Schizosaccharomyces pombe: one gene and its partners. Changing the gene in region 1 together with any one later gene gives a genetic interaction. Each region holds a gene or a part of one and is shown on either strand. Other genes may lie near its edges.

The links.
Region 2: mutations in ubp3 (region 1) and SPOM_SPAC1F12.04C together harm fitness more than expected from each alone (negative genetic interaction), as found in Schizosaccharomyces pombe (one large-scale study listed by BioGRID).
Region 3: mutations in ubp3 (region 1) and SPOM_SPAC15E1.02C together harm fitness more than expected from each alone (negative genetic interaction), as found in Schizosaccharomyces pombe (one large-scale study listed by BioGRID).
Region 4: mutations in ubp3 (region 1) and tim18 together harm fitness more than expected from each alone (negative genetic interaction), as found in Schizosaccharomyces pombe (one large-scale study listed by BioGRID).

The regions. Positions count from the first base shown.
Region 1 is NC_003423.3:3,674,414-3,681,335, forward strand, and holds ubp3 (ubiquitin hydrolase Ubp3), read left to right. Parts: upstream 1-3,235; 5' UTR 3,236-3,299; coding exon 3,300-3,380; intron 3,381-3,418; coding exon 3,419-4,876; 3' UTR 4,877-5,248; downstream 5,249-6,922. Other genes in the region: histone H2A-H2B chaperone, FACT complex subunit Spt16, read left to right, coding at 1-105; RNA methyltransferase Nop2, read right to left, coding at 338-2,164; erd2 (HDEL receptor), read left to right, coding at 5,613-5,634, 5,672-5,797, 5,853-6,343.
Region 2 is NC_003424.3:3,809,356-3,814,803, forward strand, and holds SPOM_SPAC1F12.04C (uncharacterized protein), read right to left. Parts: upstream 2,495-5,448; 5' UTR 2,287-2,494; coding exon 1,711-2,286; downstream 1-1,710. Other genes in the region: tma19 (translationally-controlled tumor protein), read right to left, coding at 173-679; arrestin-related substrate adaptor Any2, read left to right, coding at 3,767-4,900; SPOM_SPAC1F12.06C (DNA repair endonuclease), read right to left, coding at 5,194-5,448.
Region 3 is NC_003424.3:3,719,919-3,725,565, forward strand, and holds SPOM_SPAC15E1.02C (uncharacterized protein), read right to left. Parts: upstream 1,919-5,647; 5' UTR 1,839-1,918; coding exon 1,392-1,838; 3' UTR 1,339-1,391; downstream 1-1,338. Other genes in the region: bud6 (actin-interacting protein 3), read left to right, coding at 1-1,045; rpl42 (60S ribosomal protein eL42), read left to right, coding at 2,591-2,890, 3,081-3,101; hal3 (thymidylate synthase), read left to right, coding at 3,915-5,647.
Region 4 is NC_003423.3:2,032,826-2,038,021, reverse strand, and holds tim18 (TIM22 inner membrane protein import complex and succinate dehydrogenase (SDH) anchor subunit Tim18), read right to left. Parts: upstream 1,963-5,196; 5' UTR 1,923-1,962; coding exon 1,443-1,922; downstream 1-1,442. Other genes in the region: Cu(2+) transporting ATPase Ccc2, read right to left, coding at 1-35; SPOM_SPBC29A3.21 (uncharacterized protein), read right to left, coding at 628-930; MPP complex beta subunit Qcr1, read left to right, coding at 3,179-4,552. UniProt on the Schizosaccharomyces pombe protein: Membrane-anchoring subunit of succinate dehydrogenase (SDH) that is involved in complex II of the mitochondrial electron transport chain and is responsible for transferring electrons from succinate to ubiquinone (coenzyme Q).

The DNA of each region.
Region 1 (6,922 bases):
GAAGAAAGTGGTGAAGATTGGGATGAATTGGAGCGTAAAGCACGTCAAGAAGATGCTAAGCACGATGCTTTTGAAGAAAGACCATCTAAAAAGAGACACCGGTAAACTCACAAATTTACTTCACTTTCTTATTATTTATATGTAGTTTATTCTAAAAATTCCAGAATACTTTATAATAAAATATTCCACTGAATTGAGATTTGACAACCAGATGGATTGATACAAAAATATAAAGACCGGCTCTTTACGACAACCTATTAATATAATTGTTGTAGTAACACGCGAATCAATGTTCAGTTACCTTTTATTGTGTAATCCCAACCTAACCAAAATTATTCTAATCCTTTTTTTTTGCAACCTTATAACCTTTAGACTTCAACCATTTGCGACGATTCTGCTCGATAATCTCCTTATCGGCTTCATCATTGAAAGTAATATTATCAATTTCAGTAGAATTCTTTTCAATTTCAACATCATTATTTGTTCCATCCTTCATATCATCAGCCACATTTACAGTAGGGATTTTATCAGAAATCTTTTTCAGTTTGGCAACGAAAAAACCGTCTATATTGTGAACATGAGGATAATAACGTCTAGTTAACTTTAGACTTGGATGAAATCTTTTTTCACGAAAACGGGTAAACCCTTCACGTCCAAATTCAAGTCCAGTGGACACTAGCTTAACATTAGGGCGCTTCTTTAAAGCATATTGAATAACTGCTTCATCTTCGTCAACAGTAATACTGCAAGTAGAATACACGATAAAACCACCGGTTTTGCTGTCAGCATTGACAGAATCAATAGCGCTTAGAAGCAATTGCCTTTGTAAATGGCTAAGAGTATCAAAATCCCTTTCAGATTTGTTAGTTTTAACAGACTGATCTTTATATATAACACCAGTACCCGAACATGGGGCGTCAAGGAGAACACGGTCAAAACCGCCAATTACTTCGTTGGGAAACTTGCGGCCATCGTAATTACATACAATAGCATTACGTACACCTAAACGATGAATGTTAGCGGAAAGAGCCTTTGTTCGAGCTTTGTTAGAATCATTTGCAAAGATAATTCCAGTATTCTTTTGTAATGCAGCAACATAAGTGACTTTACCACCAGGTGCTGAGGACATGTCAAGGATACGTTCATTTGGTTGAGGCGCAAGGGCCATTACAGGCAAGAAGGAAGATGCAGCTTGCAGGATGTAATGACCAGCTAAATATTCGGGTGTCGCACCGATTGGAACCTGGGATTCGAATACTTGGAGACCTACTTTGGACCATTTACCAATTGGTTCCAAATTGACACCACGATTAATTAATGCTTGGGCTAATTCTCGTCGCTGGGTTTTTAAAGTATTGGTACGAATTGTGACAGGACGAGGCATTTCATTTGCCTCAAAAAACTCAACAGCCTCAGAAACTGAAAATAATTCAAATAACTTCTCAGCAAGAAAGCGAGAATAACCGTAATACGCACATATATCATTTAAGAGTTGATCAACATATTCAGAACGATTGCGTCCAGGTTCACACAAATTTTTAAAATCATTCAAAACACGGACTATTTCCTGTATCCGCAATTGAATTTGGCTCAAATCCTGTGGAAGAGTAGATATTGGTTGGCTATCGGTAAAACCATCAATAGGTGGAAGAACAGTAGGAGCCTCAGGATGTATGTTGGTATGCAATTCTTCCTCGGCTTCTTTTTCCTCTAATTCCGCTTCCTCATCAAGTTTGCGAGACATGGCTTCCATATTCGCAAGTTCCAAATCCTCTTCATCTCCAGAATCATCGCTAAACATAGGCTTAACCTCATGCTCTTCATCCGAATCAAAAACAGAATCTTCTTCCTCCCCTTCACATTCTTTAGCCTCATCATCGATAAACTCGTCAGCAAATGTTTGGGGTTCCTCGTCATGTTCCAAGTCTGATAAAGTTTCAGCCTCTTCAAATTCGTCTGCATCAATAAGATCTTTTTCATTCTCAGAATCCGAATTTTCAAACAAAGATTTCTTTTCTTCTGCTAATTGGCGTTTCCGAGAATTTTGTGGTTTTTCTTTTGAATGCTTTCTCTTTTTTGCATTTTCTGTCACTTTATGAGAAGAATTATGATTTTCCTCTAAAGTTGGGGGAATTCCTTGCTTAGACTTCTGTTTTCTTCCCATCTTTTATGGAAAATATGTGATGAAGTCCAAAAACGTTTATTTGGGCTGAGGAAAAATTTTGGCACTGGCATTCTTTCAGTCCAACCTCCACTATTCACATCGCTGAGTTTTGTTAAAAACTTTTACGAAAGATAAAGAACATTAAATTTTTTCAAGCAATACTACACTACGCTATGACATACTATGTTGCGTATCACTATATGCCATATGTTTAAATACTTAAGATCCGTTTATTGATACACGAGGATAAACTATCCGTCTATCTACATAGATGCAACGTTGATAGCAACTTATAGAAATATTATTAATAGAGCTACAGTTGAACTGAGGAACGAGGTACAGTTCCTAGCTGTATCGATGATCGATACTAATAGCTTCCTATAAACATTGTCAGTTAAAAATATACTGCATCCCGCTATATTGTAGATCGCAAGAGAAAATTGCCGCAGTTCTATGTATCGTTAAACAGATATTCAAACTGCATTGCTGAAACACAAAAAGATATACCGCATAGCAACAGCATAGTTAACATTATTAAAAATTCACGACTATTGTTATATTTATCTTTTTTAAAATTTGCTACGTACTTTACTGCTCAGCTTACTTAAAAAAGTCACTTAATTTACTCGTTCATCTTACTTCACCTCCTTGACAATTAATCATTTCAATTATGATCACATTAAGACTTGGTTAACGATTGAATTTGCTGCGGCGTAAAATGAGTGACAATATATATTCAAGACCTATATATAGTTCACACAACAGCAGAATATCGAATTTTAAAATTTACTATTTACTTTTCTCTTTTCGTATCACTTTTGTGGTTTAAGATACATATAGTGGTACTTAGATATGTAAATATACCGTATTCTCTAAAAATAACTAAAGATGGGCATGGACATTCAATAATTAATAATAAAAAAGAACAACTAAAAATAATTAGGAATTTGAGTTAGGCGGTCAAGTGTTTACAGTGGAATATCACCATAATACACTTGGTGGAATACGAAGAATTAACGAGGTATAGTGTATATTAAAAAAAGTTTTGGACAGTCTTTTGAAGAGCAAAGCGAACGACAGCCAACCATCAAATTAGTAAACAAGAGTTCAATCTTGCTAGAGTGTGCGTATTTCCATGCGAGATTTGACCTCTGCAACGGACAGCGCGTCTTTGGAAAGTGATTCGTCACGAAATCAATTTATTATCAATTCACTGGTATGTTTTATTAAAATTGTGATTATACTAACGTTTAGCTACCATGGTACTCATGCTCTGAACATGAATTTCCTCATCGAAAGGCTAGAAAAAGGCGTTCGCCTAAGAATTTAGATTGGTCGGTTTCGGTGCAAATGCCTCTGGTCACATCAAAGACGAAAGAGTCTGAAAAATCGCCTAAATCGTGGTCTGCAATTGCGAAAAAGCATGTTCAAGGAGACTCTCCTGTTAAAAAATCACATTCTGTTCCGGTACCGTCTGACAGGTCTGAGAAAAAAAGTTTCAATTCATCCCTTGGTGAATTGATCGAAACATATTCTCCATCCCTCGATGCACCCCGTCCTATACAGCCTCGGGGTTTTATAAATACCGGAAATATATGTTTTATGAACTCTATTTTACAGGCACTAATGTATTGTGTTCCATTTTATAATTTACTTAAGCAAATTAACCGGATGGTTCCGTATAATTTTGAACGTACAACACCTCTTATTGAATCGTTGACAATGCTTTCTAGGGATTTTAGAGAATATTCTGAGAAATTTGATTTACAAGGAGATTCTATTTTGCCAGAAGTGGTATATTCAGCTACTAAGGGGAATCCTCGATTTGAAATGTTGCAGACCGGCGAACAGGAGGATGCTGAGGAGTTTTTGAATTTGTTTCTTGACGAATTACATGAAGAATTCGTGCGTGAACGTAGACATTATTTATTAAAAAATGACGAAAGAAATCCAAAATCTGATATCAAAATTTCAAATGGTATCAAGTCTGGTTTAGATAGTTTTGATGATCAATCTTCTGTAGAAGCTAGTGGCTGGACCGAAGTTGGTAAAAATAAAAAGCCAGTAATTGCTAGATCTGCTACTGTTGAAAGGTCTCCTATAAGCCAAATTTTTGGTGGTCAGCTGCGCTCTACCTTAAGGGTTCCGAGTGCAAGAGATTCTGTTTTGTTAGAACCGTTTCAACCTCTGCAACTCGACATTCAAGCAGAAGATATACATTCAGTTATCGATGCGTTGGAGCATATGACCGCCCCTGAAATTTTACCGGAATGGCATTCGTCGAAAGGAAATGTTACTGCTACCAAGCAAATGTATATAGAGTCACTTCCTCCTGTCTTGATTCTTCACCTTAAACGATTCTTTTACGAAGCATCTGGCGGTACACAGAAAAATTATAAGCCTATTGCTTATCCTGCTCGCTTGAGTATTCCACAAAACGTTTTCAGCCCTTCTGTTCGTGGTTCCATACATCCGGAATATGATTTGAATGCAGTGGTTTATCATCACGGTACTTCTGCGTCTGGTGGTCATTATACTGTCGATGTTCAGCAACTTGATAAAAGCGGCTGGTTTCGGATTGATGATACACACATTCACCGCGTACCTATTCATGATGTTGAAAACTCCGAACTTTCCGCTGATCCGAGTCTTAGTAAACTTGGTCACGGCGATCGTGTGGCATACTTACTGTTTTACACACGACGCTCCTAGGTCATCTGGATTCCTTCCTCCCAAAAAAAATTAACCAATAAAAACCTTAATTGTTTTGTGTATTCTTCAATAAACAACTCAAGGATTTGAGCTAAAACTGGGGACTACACTTTTTTATAATTCTTTTTGTTTAAAACGTCGGTTAGAAAATTTTATCATATCTTTTTTACATAATTTTCTCAAAAAGGTTCAGCAATTTTTTATTATTTTTTATTTTATGAACTTTAGCTATTTAAGATTACGTTCCCTCTCAATCCCTTTAAACTAATCGGCTTTATAATACAACCTTTCTAGGAACTTACTCCGAATATACAAGTGAATTTTCATTGCAGCTTTAATGCAGTATATATTTTAAAACAGTACCAAAAGTAGGGTCAAGTGGTTTTTATTTTGCTGTCCTATTAGTAGTAGGTCAAGTCCAGCTTCATAATGTAATATTTGAAGTACTATGGCATCAAGTTTGTCACTTTAAAGCCCATTTCTATAATTTTCATGCAAGCTAAACTCCTTGTTTTAAATAAAAAGATTTGATCGTTTGAGAATCTTGATTCAGCGCATTCTAAAGTACGAATATAAATTACAGTTTTTTTGTTGCATTTATTAAACATTTGGCCCCCACTTGCATACCCCAATTATATCTCTGCGCAGTTAAGCCTATTGTCAACACCACTACCAAATTCTTTTTCCTAATACCTGGCGCGTTGAAATAGGCACTCCTTACTTTTATTAATTAATCATGACATTTTTCAGTGCACTGGGTATGATGAATTTCGTCAAAGTAAAGCTAATCATTAGGTGATATGGCCCATTTGGCTGCTATTTTCTTGCTTTTGCACCGAATGAAAAAATCGAAAACCTGTTCAGGACTATCTCTCAAATCCCATCTTTTGTTTCTGCTTGTTTATGTTACACGTTATTTGAGTATGTGCTGAACTTTTCGAAAAATACTTTCTTTGCTAACTCTTTTTTTTAACAGATCTCTTTTGGAGATACAAAAGCTTGTATTATTTCTTGATGAGGATAGTTTTTATAGCTTCCGAATCCTATATATGCTACTTGATGTTAATGACTTTGCGACCTACATATGACAAACGTCTTGATACTTTTCGAACTGAATATATCTTAGGTGGTTGTGCAGTTCTGGCTCTCATTTATCCAACCAGTTATACCATTAGTAACATCCTATGGACTTTTAGTATTTGGTTAGAAAGTGTTGCAATTCTCCCTCAATTGTTTATGTTACAACGATCTGGTGAAACAGAGAGCCTGACTGCCCATTACTTATTTGCAATGTGCTTATATAGAGGACTATATATTCCTCATTGGATTTATCGTATTGCAGTTCACAAGAAAGTCATCGGTGTTGCAATTCTTGCGGGCATTATCCAAACCGTTTTGTATGGTGATTTTGCAGTCGTATATCGCCGAACAGTTCTACAGGGAAAAAAGTTCCGATTACCTGCTTAGTTATGATTTTTATTGATGAAAAAAGAAGGAATCTTTATTGTTTTTTTTCTATTTGCATTACCTTTTTCTCGATGCAATAAGTTTCTGATTGCATTTTTAGCAACGCCGTCAAAGGACTATGTTCATGAATGAATTAATGAACTAAATGGGCTTTTTTGTATTTGTATGCAAAAAAATTATAACTTAACTTATCCGTAATACATATGCTCGATGGATGACACGATCTGTTCTTTCTTTCATTAAAATTAAGACTTTAGTACATTATTAGAAAATTAATTTAGGATTTACTGATGATCAGAAACCAAAAAAAAGAATTTTCAATTCATATACGATACAGAAACATTAAGCAATATTTAAACAAAATTAACTGTTTGGGTATTTAAAATGGTAATTGAATGTAATATATGGAAAAGGAAAATATGAGCAGCCTCATTCCAAGCTAAATTGTTGAATTACTGTACATCATTAAAAAAAAAATAGAATAAATTTGTAGATTATCATAACCGCCAATTCACGGAAATTTATATTAATAATCGGTGCTATAATTTTATAATAATTGAGGACTCCTCTATTATTTGC
Region 2 (5,448 bases), on another chromosome or scaffold:
TAATTTCAATTTGAACATGATTATAAGCTAGCATAATTAATTATTATCAGAACAAAAACCCCTGTTCTAATCCTAATGAAATTTTGTGAAAACTAATTCACAAAACTATAAAATTTAGACATGATATCATGTTCCCAGTTAGAAACTCCCTTATAAGAACCCAAATTTGCATTTAGAACTTCTCAGAAACAAGACCGTCCTTGAAGAAGATCATGTAGGGAGTAATACCATCCTCACGGTAGTTCATTAAGACAACCATTGCGTCGGGATCCATGCTCTCACCAATGTAAAAGTCGTAGTCCTTGAAGTTAGCCAAAATCTTCTTGACGAATCCAATGGCATTCTTCTCGAAAACAGGAACACGCTCGGGGTTGCTTTCTTGAAGACGAGCCTTGATAGCCTTCATGTAACCCTTGATGTAAGACATATAGGACTTCTTGTCAAAAGAAGTAGGGCTTAAACGGAAAGAGTAAACAAGATTGTTTACAGTCTCAGTACCCTCTTCAGCATTCTCCTCAGCATCCTCGGCAGAAGGGTTGGCACCAATGTCAACATCACCACCTTGCTTGACAGTGACCATTTGGCAATCAGCCTCGTAGACAATATCGTCTACCTCCTTCAAGTCGTAGGCGTCAGAAACGAGTTCGTCTCCAGAAATAACGTCCTTGTACAACAACATGGTGATTGCAGATGGTAGCTCATAATTTGACTTCTCGCAGGTTTAATGAGATAAAGCAGTCACAGTTTAGGGCAGGGTTACTGGATTCTAGCCATCCGTATGGAATGCGGTTACGAACAGTATTCACTTTACGTAGTACAGCGTTGTTTTCGATAGATACATTTTGTTTACCAATTCCTTCATTTTTTTCAATTTGTCGTAGTCTGTTCTCCTTTCTTTTAAATAACAATATTCTTTATATTTTCAGATTTTTTTTTAGATGAAAATATCGTTGTACTCAGTCAGTAGTAAATTGTTTTATATTACTGAATCTGATTTTTTGAGTGAAACCATTATGATGCGTGTAAAATTAAGATTAAAGCTGGAATTAAAGTCCAAATGAATTCAACAATTGAACCATATTTAACAGTATGTGTATTAATCTCTATGTTCTTTAATCAACTTGTAACCATTTATGTCGCCTCAAATTTATTATTCGAGCTATTATCCGTCAATTCTTGAGTCGTAATTAGAACATTCTCAACAGTACTGAGCTTCAGAAGAAACCTAAAAAAGTAGTGCATTATAGTTGATAATAATTCCTTAACGTTTATATATGATATACTTAAAAGTATGATATCGTACATCCTCAATTTGAAATTGCAGGGCCATTAAAAACACTCGTTAATAAAGATATTCAGTTCAATTAGAAAAAAATGACAAGGTACATTTTGGTGACAAACAAAGAGTAACTTAATGTTTTCCGTTGATTAAATTTTCGATCAATATCCCAAAATTTAAAACGCTTTAATGGAATGGATTAACGATTAAAATCGACTTCATTTCTAAAACCTTTCAAGCTTTAAACCGATTCAGTCCCTTCATTTAGAATGGCATATTTCGATTTTTGCTGAAAAAACCAAGACGACTGTTACCACTTTTGTTTACTACTTTACTCACATAGACATTCGAGAAAACGAAAAATAGTTGAGCACGAATAGAATTACATGAAAAAAGTAACTTCTATTTAAATTTAAAAAGCTCATTCGTAACTAAGCTCTTTTATTGTGCAAAGAGAGGATTAGTTTTCTAGTTTGTACAATTGCGCTGAAAAGACCAAGAACTCCAATTTGGTGTTTGTGTAAACCAGCTCCATTTTCTACAGACCAGTGAATACACAAAGGAAGGCTAGCCAAGTTTGAAGCTAAGTCTAACTGATGCTCCTTTTCGTCTTCTGTTTTTTCACGCAAAAGCTGGTAAATGGTCAATAAAGTATCGAGAAGCCAAAATCTAGAAGACCAAAGCCATAATTTGTCTTCCAACGGTTTTGATATGGAAATAATCTGTTTGCCGCCTAAGAATGCCAATCCTTCTGTGACATAGTATCCAATATTGATTGCGTTACTCATGTAAGTTTCAGGAGAAGAATCTTTACGAAAATTTACGATTAATTTGTAGAGACCAGGAAGACGTAAAATACATCGAAATTCATTTAGCATAGAAACCAGTTGAGCAGTTGATTTCGAAGATGCTGGATCCAACCTCGCAACGTTGACAAGAATGGCAGCAATTTTGTCAATTCCGCTGGGATTTTGCAGCATCAGGTTTAAAGAATGCATATAAGACATATTTCTCAAAAAATTTCAGCTCTAAGATTTGGTCAATTATATTGTTCACGAAAGGTAGTCTAATTTTCGTATACTTTAGTAGAAAAGCGTAAAATCCAAAAAAATACTAAGTAGCGTATGTAAACGACTAAAATTACCAAATCCAAAGATTATTTGAATGACGATAGATGTCGGTTCGGCAACGTCTTATGGTATAGAGAGTGAGTGTGCTGCTATAGTCGATCGGATCAGCAAACGTTAGCTAGTCTGTTTAGTACACCAATAGATTTGATAAGAAAAATCTACAGTGCAGCAAAGTGAAATGTTATTTTATGAGTTGATCGATTTTACTTTTAGAATTACAAATGATAAGATATGATAACTTTCTCCAGTTATCACGTCGATTAGATCGCCGGAAATAACTCCGATATTGAGGAAAGTGTATTCAGTTGCAACAAACAGCTGTGACGGCTTCAAAGTATCGGCAAATCATTTTTTGCATGTGTTTTAAAAAAATAGTTCAGCAATAAAAAACATAAATTTGTTAGGCTTCTAGAGGCATATGCTTATTTATGTGTTATTTTTTTAATATTTATCATAACGTATTTTTTATTACAAATCCTTAGGTAGCAATATCTTAAGAATTAAACATACATATGTTCAAGGATAAAAGAAAGAAAAACTTGGAAACTGGGTTTATTTTTTCTATTCCTTTGTTCAGATACATATAAAACAGCTTAGTTACTATGGATTATTATCATATAGAATTATGATAACTGTTTAAAATAAATATTATTTGGAATAACGAGATTTGTTTAGGTCGGCTTGAGATACGCACAGCTACGTAAGATTGTAGATAACAAACTTTGAAAACCTTCGCATTCAGTGGCCTGGGGAGCATGCAGACTACACTTCCTATTCTTCCTTTGCAAAAACCTTCTCTTCTTACTACATTAGTATATTTTTCATAGGGAGGTGCTATATGCACTGTATTCATAGTTACGCTCTGCTTACAGTGAGCAAAGTATTTCTTTGGACGCTAAAAAAAGGCTCCTGTATATTGATTTGAGTAAATATTTTGGCATAGAAAAACACATTCAACGCTACTTAATTGTTTTTTCCATTTCGAACTACTATTGAGAGGAAGTTGTTTTTTCAATTGTTTTATATCATTTGAAAAAAATTGAAGCACAATTGCTTATCTTTGATCAAACGTTTAAGGAGTAAGCTCCAAATTCGATAATCCCTATTCCGTTCTACATAAAACCTGAGTTCATCTCTTGTGCTGTCGCTTTCAACCTCAGAAGCTGTTAAGGATATATATTAATTTAAAATTTTTACCAAAAAATATATTTCATTCTCTTCATAGCCGTTTTCTGTTTGTTTAATTTCAATCTCATATTAATTCTTCTGATCGGGCCCCCCTTTGTTCTTTAGATTCATTTTTTCCTACTCTTTCCTTTTAATATTTAATTCCTAAGTCATTAGCTGAACCGTCAAGATGCCTTCATTAGTCAGGAGATTTCAGCATGCTTCAACAGAAGAACAACCTTTCGAACTCAACATCCAGATGGAGTCTCCTCCTTTGGTAATGTATGGGAATCCAGATGTTTCTAGTGGAGCGTTAGCATCTGGACTTGCCAAGTTGACTGTATTTCCTGCAGATCTCAAATGCGAATCCATTGTCATGGAATTCGTCCGCATAATATCCACAAAGCGTCCTTTGCGCGACAGCTGTCCCGATTGCAAAGCTCAGGTTGAGGCTTTTGAGAAATGGGAGTTTTCTAAAGAACCTACCGTATATACTCATGGTACACATACTTGGCCATTCACTTTTATAATACCTGGACATTTTCCACAAACGACCAACTCACCATTCATAAACGTTACTTACATCCTAAAAACTCGCGTTAAGATTCCCAGTCAACCCGATTTTGTTTTTGAATATCCTTTAAACTTGAAACGCTCTATTGTCACTAATGCTGATAAAATTGCCCAGCGTCTCTTCCCCCCTACTTCGCTTATTGCTCTTTTAGAGCTGCCTCCTGTAATTCACCCTTTGAGTTGTGTTCCTGTTGAATTTCAGCTGACCGGTGTAAAACCTGAAAACTCCAAGGTTGGTTGGCGCTTAACGAAGATTTCGTGGAGAATAGAAGAACAGATAAAAGCTCAAATAAATGGTTGCTCGACCCATACTGGGACAAAAAAGCCATACATTTTCAAGGAGACTCGGCTGTTGGGAAATAATGAACATAAGTCTGGTTGGAAAGAAGATGGCGATAGAATTATCTTCGAGATCCCTATCAGTACATCTTTACTTTCAAAGCCTATTTGTGATGTTTCCTTTGATGGACAATTCTCTCTATATATTGCCCATCAACTAATTCTTGAGACTATAGTCGTCGAAGTGATGAACTCGCATCCCATAAACTCGAATGCCCGAATTTTAAGGATGAAGGTCAATTTACCTTTGACTGAACGAGGTGGTCTTGGTGTTAGTTGGGATGAGGAATGCCCCCCAATGTTCAATAGTGTTGGACCCAGTCCTCCTGCATATGAGCAAGTTGCTAGATCCTCTCCCACTGATATTCCACTACCTCCACCTTCATGTCCTACAAATGTTCAAAGAGATTGATTCGAATTTTAGTTTCTTCCGTCAATTTTGTTTTTTTATCTTTCTGTTTTAATTGGGCTTGTTTTTTCATTTCAAAGATTTGTGTATCTTTATATGACTTGAACGGTAATTTTTTGACCTTTACTAAGCTTGGATGATACAACAGGATTTCCATTAAAGGTTGCTTAACGTTTGTTCAAATTCCGCTTTTTTATTTCTCTTTCCTGTAGATTAATCTAATTCTAAACCGTCAATTAAAATACTCACAGAATATCTAAGTAGACAAAGTAATGTTTCTCGTAAGATGATTTTGCTTAATTTTTCTTATTCCTTTTCGATTGACTTAGGACAAATTTGGCATAAATGTCTGCTTGCCTGATCGGTTCCGGTACCCTGCTATGAGAGCTACTGCATTTCTGTACGAGTTGGATAGACTGTTCTAAATTCATTTGGTTACCGATGCTAACATAAACTGGGCGTTTCGAGTTACTGCTTGTCCATACTGCAGCGCCCAGAATCTCAGAAGATTGATCAATCGAGTGAATCAATATTGGATGATCAGTTGTTTT
Region 3 (5,647 bases), on another chromosome or scaffold:
GCGTTCTGATGTGCTGTTGCGCAAAGTACGACCAGGCTTAGATCAAACATCTCAATTAAATGAGGAAAGCGCATACTTGGAAAAAAGGATTCAAACCCTTGAAAGATCTCTTGAGGAAGTAACTCCAATTTGGAAGAAGCAATGGGAACGAGAGTTAAATGCAATTGTACAAGAGCAAGAATTTCTGGATAGTCATACTGTTCTTATATCAGATCTTAAGAGGGATCTTTCCGCATTATCCACTGTCCTTTCAAATGTTTCCGCGATAGCTGAATTGCAAGCCAAGTCCTCCATTAAAAGCAAACCCTTAACTTTGAAAACTGCCACTGAGTCTGAGATTAAAGGTTATCGTGATCAAATTCAGCTAGAAGTACTAAATCTAAAACCCGACAGTGAAGCACGACTACAGGCTATTGAGCGTAGTGAACTGTTGCAGAAAAAACGACTGTTGCAACGAGTAGATGAATTTTCAAAAGAAGTTAAAACTTTTGTTGAGAACGAAAAGTTGAATAAGATCGGAGGAGCGGAAGAGGCTGATCGAATTCGAACAATTCAAGATGAAAAAGTACGTAAAATTCTATGGGATGACTTTGTGTCATCGAAACGCAATGGAAAAAATGGAGGTAGTTTCATTGAGGAATCGAGTGACACTGTTTTAGACGAACATGTTGTGCCTGATAATTCTGCTAAAGCAACTGTTGCAGAAATAGACTACGGTTCACAGGTGGATACAGAGAATTTTATGTTAGAACGCAGTCCATTGGCAACTCCAAAGCCATTGAAGCAACCTGATTTTAATATATATGAGACGCCGATCGTCCGTAGTACAGCTCATGAAACAGATGATGAACAAACCCCTTCTAAATACTCCGATAACAGAGTCGAAAGTTCTAGTGATACAGTGTTTGAGAATACTGATCTTAAGTACGATAACAATGTACAGATGAGTAAAGTGACTCATCATGTAAGACACGATACGATATCCACTGATGACTATGACGCTTACGAAGATGCCGAAGATGTTGAAGAGACAAGCCTAACTTAATGTGCATAAGTTTTATTCGATTTGGCAATGATTGTATGCCAGTTTGTGTATTTTTTTTTTACTTTTTTTAACTTTAATTGTTACGAGAGAAATTACCCTGTATTACACTAGGACTGATGCAAATCTTGTGAATCAAGGATTTGCTGAATAGAGTTACAACATACCTTAATATGTACAGTTATAACAAGCAAAGGAAGCTTCGATGTTGTCCAATACCACTATTGGGATACTATTTTCACTTACAGTCTAACCAAATATGAGATAAACACAGAAAAGAAATCTTAGATATTAAAGAAAATTTGATTAACTTGTCGTTTTAAAAATCAGATATTGAACCATCGGAATCTTAAATACGACGTACGCCGTAACCGATCAAGGCAACACTTAAGCCTACTGATTTCACTAGAGAAGATATAGTTTTGACAAGGATGTAAGGGGTACCTCTGCTTTCTGTGAACATATAGTCGACTACGTCGGGCAATCCAGATGCACCAAATACATAAAGACCCACGAAAAAGGCACCTTTGAGTGTCACAGTGCCTGTAAGTTGCAACAATGCAGCGATCGAGTACGACTGAACTGCTGTACTAAGGAAATTGCTAACATAAGTTGTAGCAACCTTCTTGGTTTTACTTCCAGCGTCATATTCGACGTGAGGTGCAGTGCTCATTGCCCTTTTCCAAATATCGCCCATTAGGGGTCCATAAACGAGGAAAGAAGCAGCATGGTCGAAGGCAATCCCCAAGAGAATTGCACTAGGGCGTACATACGGCATGTGAGTGTAGGATGGCATTTCTTGTATTAATATTTAGTTTGAGTTAGAACAAGATTAATATGAATGTGAATATTTTGTAAAATAAATGTTTTGTAATTAAAGGATTTAAGGGCGCTACCACTAAATATATAGTATACTCAAGGTCCAATTATGGATTTAGGTACAGATTAATTTGGGGCGTCACTTTGACGTGTCGATGAAGTATGATAATTGGGAAATACTGCTTAGCCTGACTTGACTTGTTTTAAGTCGCTATTTCGCTATTTACATAGTGATATCTACATCATTTTCCTAAACTTTTGGTGGAGCAATATCTCATACTGTTCGGATGCTGTGCCAAGTCTTGCATAAAGAAATCAGTGAAGTCGATAAATATAAGATTTGGAGTGCAGCGATGGTAACAACTAGTGATTAAAAATAGAAATTTACTACAATAATTTTCGCATGTTTTACATTAAAAAGCCCTCACAGAAGAATCAAAGTTGGATTGAAATTCCAGCACTAAAACAATGTAGCTTAGAAATTTTGTTTGCTGGCCCACATTTGATATATTGCAAGCTTGATCTTACGCAGTAAACACTTTTAGGGTAGCTATCGGTTGTTCACACTATTGCGAACAGTGCGTTGAACGACATTACAGCAGCAAGTAAACCTAACCTAGAGGAATAAGAAACAGTCACATTTGTACAACAAGGGTTTAGCAGAGAAACTTTATGCTGTCGAGTTCCTAATCACCACCATCTAACCATCACTTATAAAAGTATCAAAAAATGGTGAACATTCCCAAGACCCGTAAGACTTACTGTCCTGGTAAGAACTGCCGCAAGCACACTGTCCACAGAGTCACCCAATACAAGAAGGGACCTGATTCCAAGCTTGCTCAGGGTAAGCGTCGTTATGACCGCAAGCAAAGTGGTTTTGGTGGTCAAACTAAGCCCGTTTTCCACAAGAAGGCTAAGGTTACCAAGAAGGTTGTCCTTCGTTTGGAATGCGTCTCTTGCAAATACAAGAATCAATTGGTTTTGAAGCGTTGCAAGCATTTCGAGCTTGGTGGTGAAAAGAAGACTAAGGTATGTCGAAGAATGCTGATAACGAGTGGATTGGATTTAGACGAATTTGTAAAAGAGTTTTTGCCGTGGTTGAATACCTCTCAAATCCAGAAAAAAAATTTTGCAAAGCGCTTTTATGAATTGTCTTTTGTTGAGTTTCATCCTTATTATCGATCATTTTCTTTATTTCATCTACTAACAATCATTTTAGGGTGCTGCTATCCAATTCTAAGTGTTTTAGCAAATACAATTTTCTTCTTTTACGGTGATCCTAAAAGCAATTCAAAGTAGTGTTTCATTTGTATTGTATAAATAATGACATGATTCCGATAGAGTAGCACACAAAGTGATGAGTTGTCATCAATTAGCAGTTCGCTAACGCTAAGGTCTGTTCTCAATATTGGAGCAATCTTTTTCGAGTGTTTCTAGTTCCATCGGTTTGAGTCAGAGCTTTTCAAGACTTGTATTACTGCTTGAGTAGAAGACAGGTGTTGTGATTTCGGAAAATAACCCATCACATTTGTCAGCATGTTAACTAAGATAAAAGTAATCAAACAAGTACAGCGTAAAATAGCGAGAGTACTAAAGCATCAAATATGCTTTCAAGTATTGCAAAAAAATTTTCTTTAAATTATCCATGCTTACGGGTCTTCTAAGGTTTAGGAGACTATGCCATTTGCCGAATTATGGATATATTAAGTAACTAATTGCTAATAGTGAGAGTGTAGTGCATCCTTGCATAACGGCACTTGGATTTCACACTGCAGGCATAATAAATAATTACTTTTTTTTGGTACTAAAGCAACGTACGTTCTTTGTTTTTCTGCGTACGACGTGTACAATTCCCTTGCAAAACTAAGGTTCGCTTGTTCAATTGCTAAATTTGTTTTTGTGGACGACCATTATAACGCGCTTCAATGAGTTTATAAAAGTTTCATTAAATTGCAGTACCAGATAAATCGATATCTAACCTTCTCCCTGCATCTATAATCTCTAGCTTCACCAACATTAAGGCCCGTCAATTACTTTCGTTTCGTTGGCCAATATGTCACAACCTTTGCATGCCAGGTTTGCTACCAGGGCTGTAAAAAATCCCATGATCCTTGAGAAAGAGCGACAACTTACGGATTCTAAATATCATATTTTGGTCGCTGCAACGGGTTCGGTTGCGGCGATAAAATTGACATTAATCGTTAAATCCCTACTGACATACAAGGGCGTCGACGTTCAAGTCGTTTTAACGGATCCGGCTCGTAACTTTGTTGAGAAAGAGGACTTAACGGCTTTGGGTGTCAATGTTTATAACAATGCGGATGATTGGAAAAATTGGGACGGACTCGAATGTCCTATCACACATATTGAGCTACGTCGATGGGCACATCTTTTGTTAATTGCCCCTTTAAGTGCAAATACTATGGCCAAAATGGCAAATGGTCTCTGTGACAATTTACTTACCTCTCTTATACGTGCCTGGGCCCCTTTAAAACCAATTCTCTTGGCTCCCGCAATGAATACCTTGATGTGGACTAATCCTATAACTCAGGAACATTTGAGCGCTATTAGCAGAATATACAAGAATAGTGAATTTATCATGCCAATCGAGAAAGTGCTTGCCTGTGGTGATATTGGCATGGGCGGTATGGCCGAATGGAGAAACATTGTAGGCAGAGTTGCCGATAAATTGCAGCTAGAACAAAAGTCTGTCTTGCCGAACGCTGTGAAAAACATCGATGGACAAGATGATGACTCTAGTGAACAAACTGCTGCTTTTGAAGAGTACGATGATGATGATGATGACGATGTTGATGATAATGAACAATCCAACAGTATGATTGAAACTTCTGCAAATGCAGATATTACCCCCAAGGCCTCTCTTTTACCCTCTACTACAGAATCTTCTATAAGCAAAGATCACGAGACCTCCCAAGCTCCATTAGGCTCGGAATCGGTGGATACTCAGGCCTCTGAAAATGTTACTACCAAACCCGAACCTCCTGTACCATTTACTTCCTCCGAATATAGAAATACAGAAGAAGAGCAATACCTAAATTTGATTCGATATATCCTTGAAAATGGCCAGTCGCGGCCCGATCGCACGGGAACTGGTACGAGATCGGTATTTGCTCCTCCACAACTACGCTTTTCTTTAAGGAATAATACTCTACCTCTTCTCACTACAAAGCGTGTTTTTTTACGTGGTGTGCTTGAAGAGTTACTTTGGTTTATTCACGGTGATACTAATGCCAATCATTTAAGTGAAAAAGGGATTCATATATGGGATGGCAATGGCAGTAGAGAATTCCTAGACAGCAGAGGGCTTACTGATCGTAAAGTTGGTGACCTCGGTCCTATATATGGTTTTCAATGGAGACATTTCGGAGCGCAATATGTTGATTGCGATACTGACTATACCAATAAAGGAGTGGATCAGCTGGCTCAGGTTATATCTACCCTCAAATTAAACCCTTATGACCGTCGTATAATTCTTTCAGCTTGGAACCCATTAGCTATTCCTGAAATGGCTTTACCACCTTGCCATATATTTTGCCAGTTTTATGTCAGTGAGCCTTGCAAGCCTGGGGGAAAGCCCCAACTTTCTAGTATGATGTATCAGCGCTCTGCCGACATGGGGCTTGGAGTTCCTTTTAACATTGCTTCTTATTCTCTCTTAACACATATGATAGCTCACATGTGCGGCTATGAAGCTGCCGAATTTGTTCACGTAATGGGTGATTGTCATATATACAATGATCATTTAGAGGCATTACAAACTCAGTT
Region 4 (5,196 bases), 1.6 Mb from region 1:
GTCATACCCTGGACTGAAAGTGTAGTAGTATACATTTTAAGAAACTAAACAAAATTTTTAAAGGCAATCTAAATTATAAAAAGAAATAACGAAAAAGAAATAGTACAAGCCAATTAGAGATTAAATAAGGAAAATTAAGAGAAGCGAGTTACTGTATAGAAACGATAAATGTTGGAAATGTCGAAATAAATAGATAATAGTAAGGAACCCAAATCAAAGACAAGAGACGTAAAAAAAAAAAGAAACCCCCTCAAGTGAAGAAATAATCAAAATTTGACGATTAAAACCAATTACTTAATGTAAGTCAACAGCAAAAAGAGACAAGCCGATGATCAACAAAAGAAAATCAACATACAAAACTTTGGAAGGAAAAGAAAAATAACAAAAACGATACCAATGTTAAACAAAGCCAGCTAATAAAGTCTTTTTACACGCTTAGCAGTTAGCTGTTTTAGGTTGGGATACCACGAATTCAGAATTCGAATTCGCTTATTGTATCGTGATTTTCACCACAAAACGATTTAGAAAAAAATACAAAACAAAACGAATTCAACTTCAACAGACTACAGAAGAAGAGCAAATTATCAGCTGAACTTGTTAACAAAGTGTTAGTGAGTGTGTGGTAGATTACAAAAAGCACATGATGGCAGCGATATAAAACCGCAAAAACTCGCGCAAACTACGAAATATACAACTTGTAAAAATAATATTCAAATTGACATAATTATGTTTTAAATTCGAGGAGAATAAAAATCTTTGACAATAATCGATCGAAGCAGAGTACGACTTTTGGAACCGAGACGCATGCACAGTGCAAGCATATGATTCCACTCCCAATTGCTTAACAATGTGTAAAGACACTTCGGTAAAGCAAAATACAACAGTATGGCTAAGAACGTTATGTAAATATCGAAAATTGTAACGCAACATTCGATAAATGAGATTAAAACGGTAAACGTTAGAGCATGTCTTCTAATACCTTATCAAAGAATAAGGGAACGAAGCGTACATGGGTAAATTGTTGACCCATTCTAAACGATAAATAATAAATGGGACACCCAATAAAATAATTCAATGGATTTTGTCTTGGAAGAATTATTAATTCAAGTCGACATAAGGACCTTAACAAGAGCTGCCACAAACTTGAATAGTCTTCTAACCACTCCCACTAGAAAAATTATCGTTGAAGGTAAACATAAACATACTGTGCAAGCGCTAAACAGATTTACACAGATAAATTGAGAGGATCAATCAAGCCAGAAATCAAGAAAAGAGCAAAGATCAACTGCAGAATATCAATTGGCAGTTTTGGGGTTTGAACTGGTAAGTTTCAAGCCCAAAACTTACTAGATGACGGATTAAGGAGAATAAAAAAGAAAAAGGAAAGGAATAATCATTATGAAAAAATAAGTGGGGTTATATGGGTTTGCATGGAAAGAAGCTTAAGATTTCCAAAGCTTTTTAATACCCTCCGTAAGGCCAATATCATTCGTGTTGAACTCATAGACGCCAATAAGTGTAAGAACAGTACATCCACGTAAGATCCAGTGCATCAAAGGAGATAACTTCTTAAATCTTCTTGCAGGGAAGTAGTCAATCACACAAGATTCAAACCCCAAGTGGGCATGCGTAATCAAGGTGCAAGCCAATGCAGCGTCCATTAAGGGATGAGAAGTTCCGGTGAACAAAGGGATCATGACTTGAGGAACCATGGCAATAGCAATAATTCTTTCAAAGTCCCAATGATAGCTTCCGTGGAGCTTACTGTGGTGAGGGAAAACAGCAGCATCATTAACAGTTCCCTTAATGGTCTGAGGGGGAGGAGGGAAAATTTTCGCAACACTGGTTGTGCTAAAAGATTTAACTGCAAAAAGAAGACGTCCTTGACGAAGTGCTCCAAGTCCTAAACGTGTTTGTAACATATTGTTTGTAAACCAAGAAAAGCTGGTGGTGGTAGTAGGTGAGTTCGTATTGGCGGATCTTGTGTCCACATTATTGGCCATTCAACAGCTCGATGTGTTGAGCTTGGAGTGGCCGGAAATAGGCGATGAGAACCTAAATCTATCTACTCATAAACGAAAAATTGTATAACATAGAGTAAAGACTAGAAATTTAAATAGATATAATAGATTAATAAGTTTATTCAGAAGAATCTCCGGTCTTTAAGGTCGTTTCAAAACCTGGTTATTACTTTTTATAATAATATTATTCACTGCTGAAAACGAATTACCTTCTACATATAATATTACATGGGTTTTGTGGTGAGTTTGAATATCTATTATAATATTACACAGTACCAAAAGTTACTGCAGTTTCAAAAAAAATTTTACGGAAAGCACTACATTGTGAAAAAACAATAATCTACTGTAAATCTTTTTACTTAATAATATAATATAGATAAAGCTATAGAAATTTACTTGTAGCAATTATGCTAATATAAAGGTGCTGCATTGGCTTAAAAAAAGGTTAGAGAAACGGTTTTAAGAGGATGAAAATTTTATTTAAATTAATATCATTTATATAAAAAACTATTCTCATAAAAAGAAACCATCAAGCTACTCAATAGTCGATGTATAACAATGCTTGATTCGGTGCTAGTCAAAATTCTATAGTTGGACTGTTATTTTTTTAAAAATGTATTAACCGAAATATTGTAATGGAAATCATGGAAAAGAGAATTTCGTTAAGTATAAATAACCTTTTAATGTAGATGAATACGAACTTAACCTGATGAAGTGTCTTACCCTGTCTGATTCAATGTCATATAGATTCTTTTCAATATACCGATGAAACAATATATCCCCTACATAGTTTTTTACCAATGAGATTCTCCATGTTAAGTAGAGATATATTATATCATGAACTGGATTGTACGGTCATTCGTTTCCTTCCTTTATAGCAAATTGCGCACAGGGCAAAGACTAGGCAATCCGAAAGTTTCTGTTTGAATGGTCAACTTCTTATTTTTCTCTACATGGAAATTCTAGTAAGGGATTCAAGGATTGCTAGTTTTCTTTTTTTATTAAATGGGATCAATTGGTCATTTGCCGAAATTCGAACTTGGGACCTCGATAACACGTATTACGCTACACCTCTACGGAATACCTTCTTGCTACCTACTTACCCTTTACCATCCACAGAATCCCACCCAACCAAAGGAGCTTGAATTGATATTACTATGCTGAGGCTTCAGAATTTGCCAAAGCTAGTACGTCGTTTTGCGACTACTGCTTTACCAAAAACAGAAACCACTACTTTAAAAAATGGGCTTACAGTTGCTACGGAACATCATCCGTATGCCCAAACAGCGACCGTCCTTGTGGGCGTTGATGCTGGCTCAAGAGCTGAGACGGCAAAAAATAATGGCGCTGCTCACTTTTTGGAACATTTGGCGTTCAAAGGAACGAAAAATCGCTCCCAAAAAGCATTGGAATTGGAATTTGAAAATACTGGTGCACATTTGAACGCATACACCTCTCGTGAACAAACCGTTTATTATGCACATGCGTTCAAAAACGCTGTACCTAATGCAGTTGCCGTTTTGGCCGATATCCTGACAAATTCAAGCATTTCTGCCTCGGCGGTTGAGCGTGAACGCCAAGTCATCTTAAGAGAGCAAGAAGAGGTTGACAAAATGGCCGATGAAGTAGTCTTTGATCATTTACATGCTACCGCTTATCAGGGTCATCCTCTTGGACGTACAATTTTGGGTCCTAAGGAAAACATCGAATCTCTTACCCGTGAGGACCTTCTCCAGTATATTAAGGACAACTACCGTAGTGATAGAATGATTATCTCTTCTGCCGGTTCGATATCTCATGAGGAGCTTGTAAAGCTCGCCGAAAAATATTTTGGCCATTTGGAGCCTTCAGCTGAGCAATTGTCGCTTGGTGCTCCTCGTGGACTCAAACCTCGTTTCGTCGGGTCTGAAATCCGTGCTCGTGACGATGATTCACCAACTGCCAACATTGCCATTGCTGTTGAAGGTATGAGTTGGAAACACCCAGATTACTTTACTGCATTAGTCATGCAAGCCATCATTGGTAACTGGGACCGTGCTATGGGAGCATCTCCCCATTTGTCTTCTCGTCTTAGTACTATTGTTCAACAACATCAACTTGCCAATAGCTTCATGAGTTTCAGTACTAGTTATAGTGATACTGGACTTTGGGGTATTTATCTTGTCACTGAGAACCTTGGCCGTATTGATGATCTCGTCCACTTTACCCTCCAAAACTGGGCTCGTTTAACCGTTGCAACTCGTGCTGAGGTTGAACGTGCCAAGGCACAACTCCGTGCTTCGCTTTTACTTTCTTTGGATTCAACGACCGCCATTGCAGAGGACATTGGTCGCCAATTGCTTACAACTGGTCGTCGTATGAGCCCTCAAGAGGTTGATCTCCGTATCGGTCAAATCACTGAAAAAGATGTAGCCCGCGTTGCTTCCGAGATGATTTGGGACAAGGACATTGCTGTTTCTGCTGTTGGTTCCATTGAGGGTTTGTTGGACTACAACCGTATTCGTAGCAGTATTTCTATGAACCGTTGGTAAACGCATTTTCTTGGGACTTTTGACTATTGTCTATTATTTAATCTTAAGGCTCATCCTTTGCTATTGTTTGTTAACGCCTTTATGATTTCGTCTGCCTCTTCGCTCTCTTCAGATATATGAGCTGAATTCACCAATATACGTTGTTTACGTGTTGATCAGTACTATCACCGGTTGGATATGAAGCTGTTTGCACACAAGTAATATCATTTCAGTAGATGAGAGCATACCAGAGTTGTTTATAGTGCAAAGTCGGTTGCTTACTGCATCACCTTTGAAAACCCCCTTTCTTCAGAGTTAAACTTTTCTCTCATTTATTATCTGTCAAGGTGTATTGCTCGGACACTTCTTATACTGCCTTTGCATTCATTTTTGCTTGCAATTTATCCTCCCGTGATATTCCTTGTCATCTTATTTTTCTATCTCCCTTCTCATTTAGCAGTCTCTTGAAAATCTCTTTTACTTTCTTGCTTTCTTTCTAGCAACTATTCACTTTATCGCTGATTTAGCGGAAACCGCTTACTAACCTACCCATGTTTACAAATGAAACGGATTCGTTCGTGTTGTAAAATTTATCGACATAACTTTGAATGTTACAGAGTTAATCTGAATTCATTCTTCCTTTTTTGTACCTTTTTTCTTGGGCG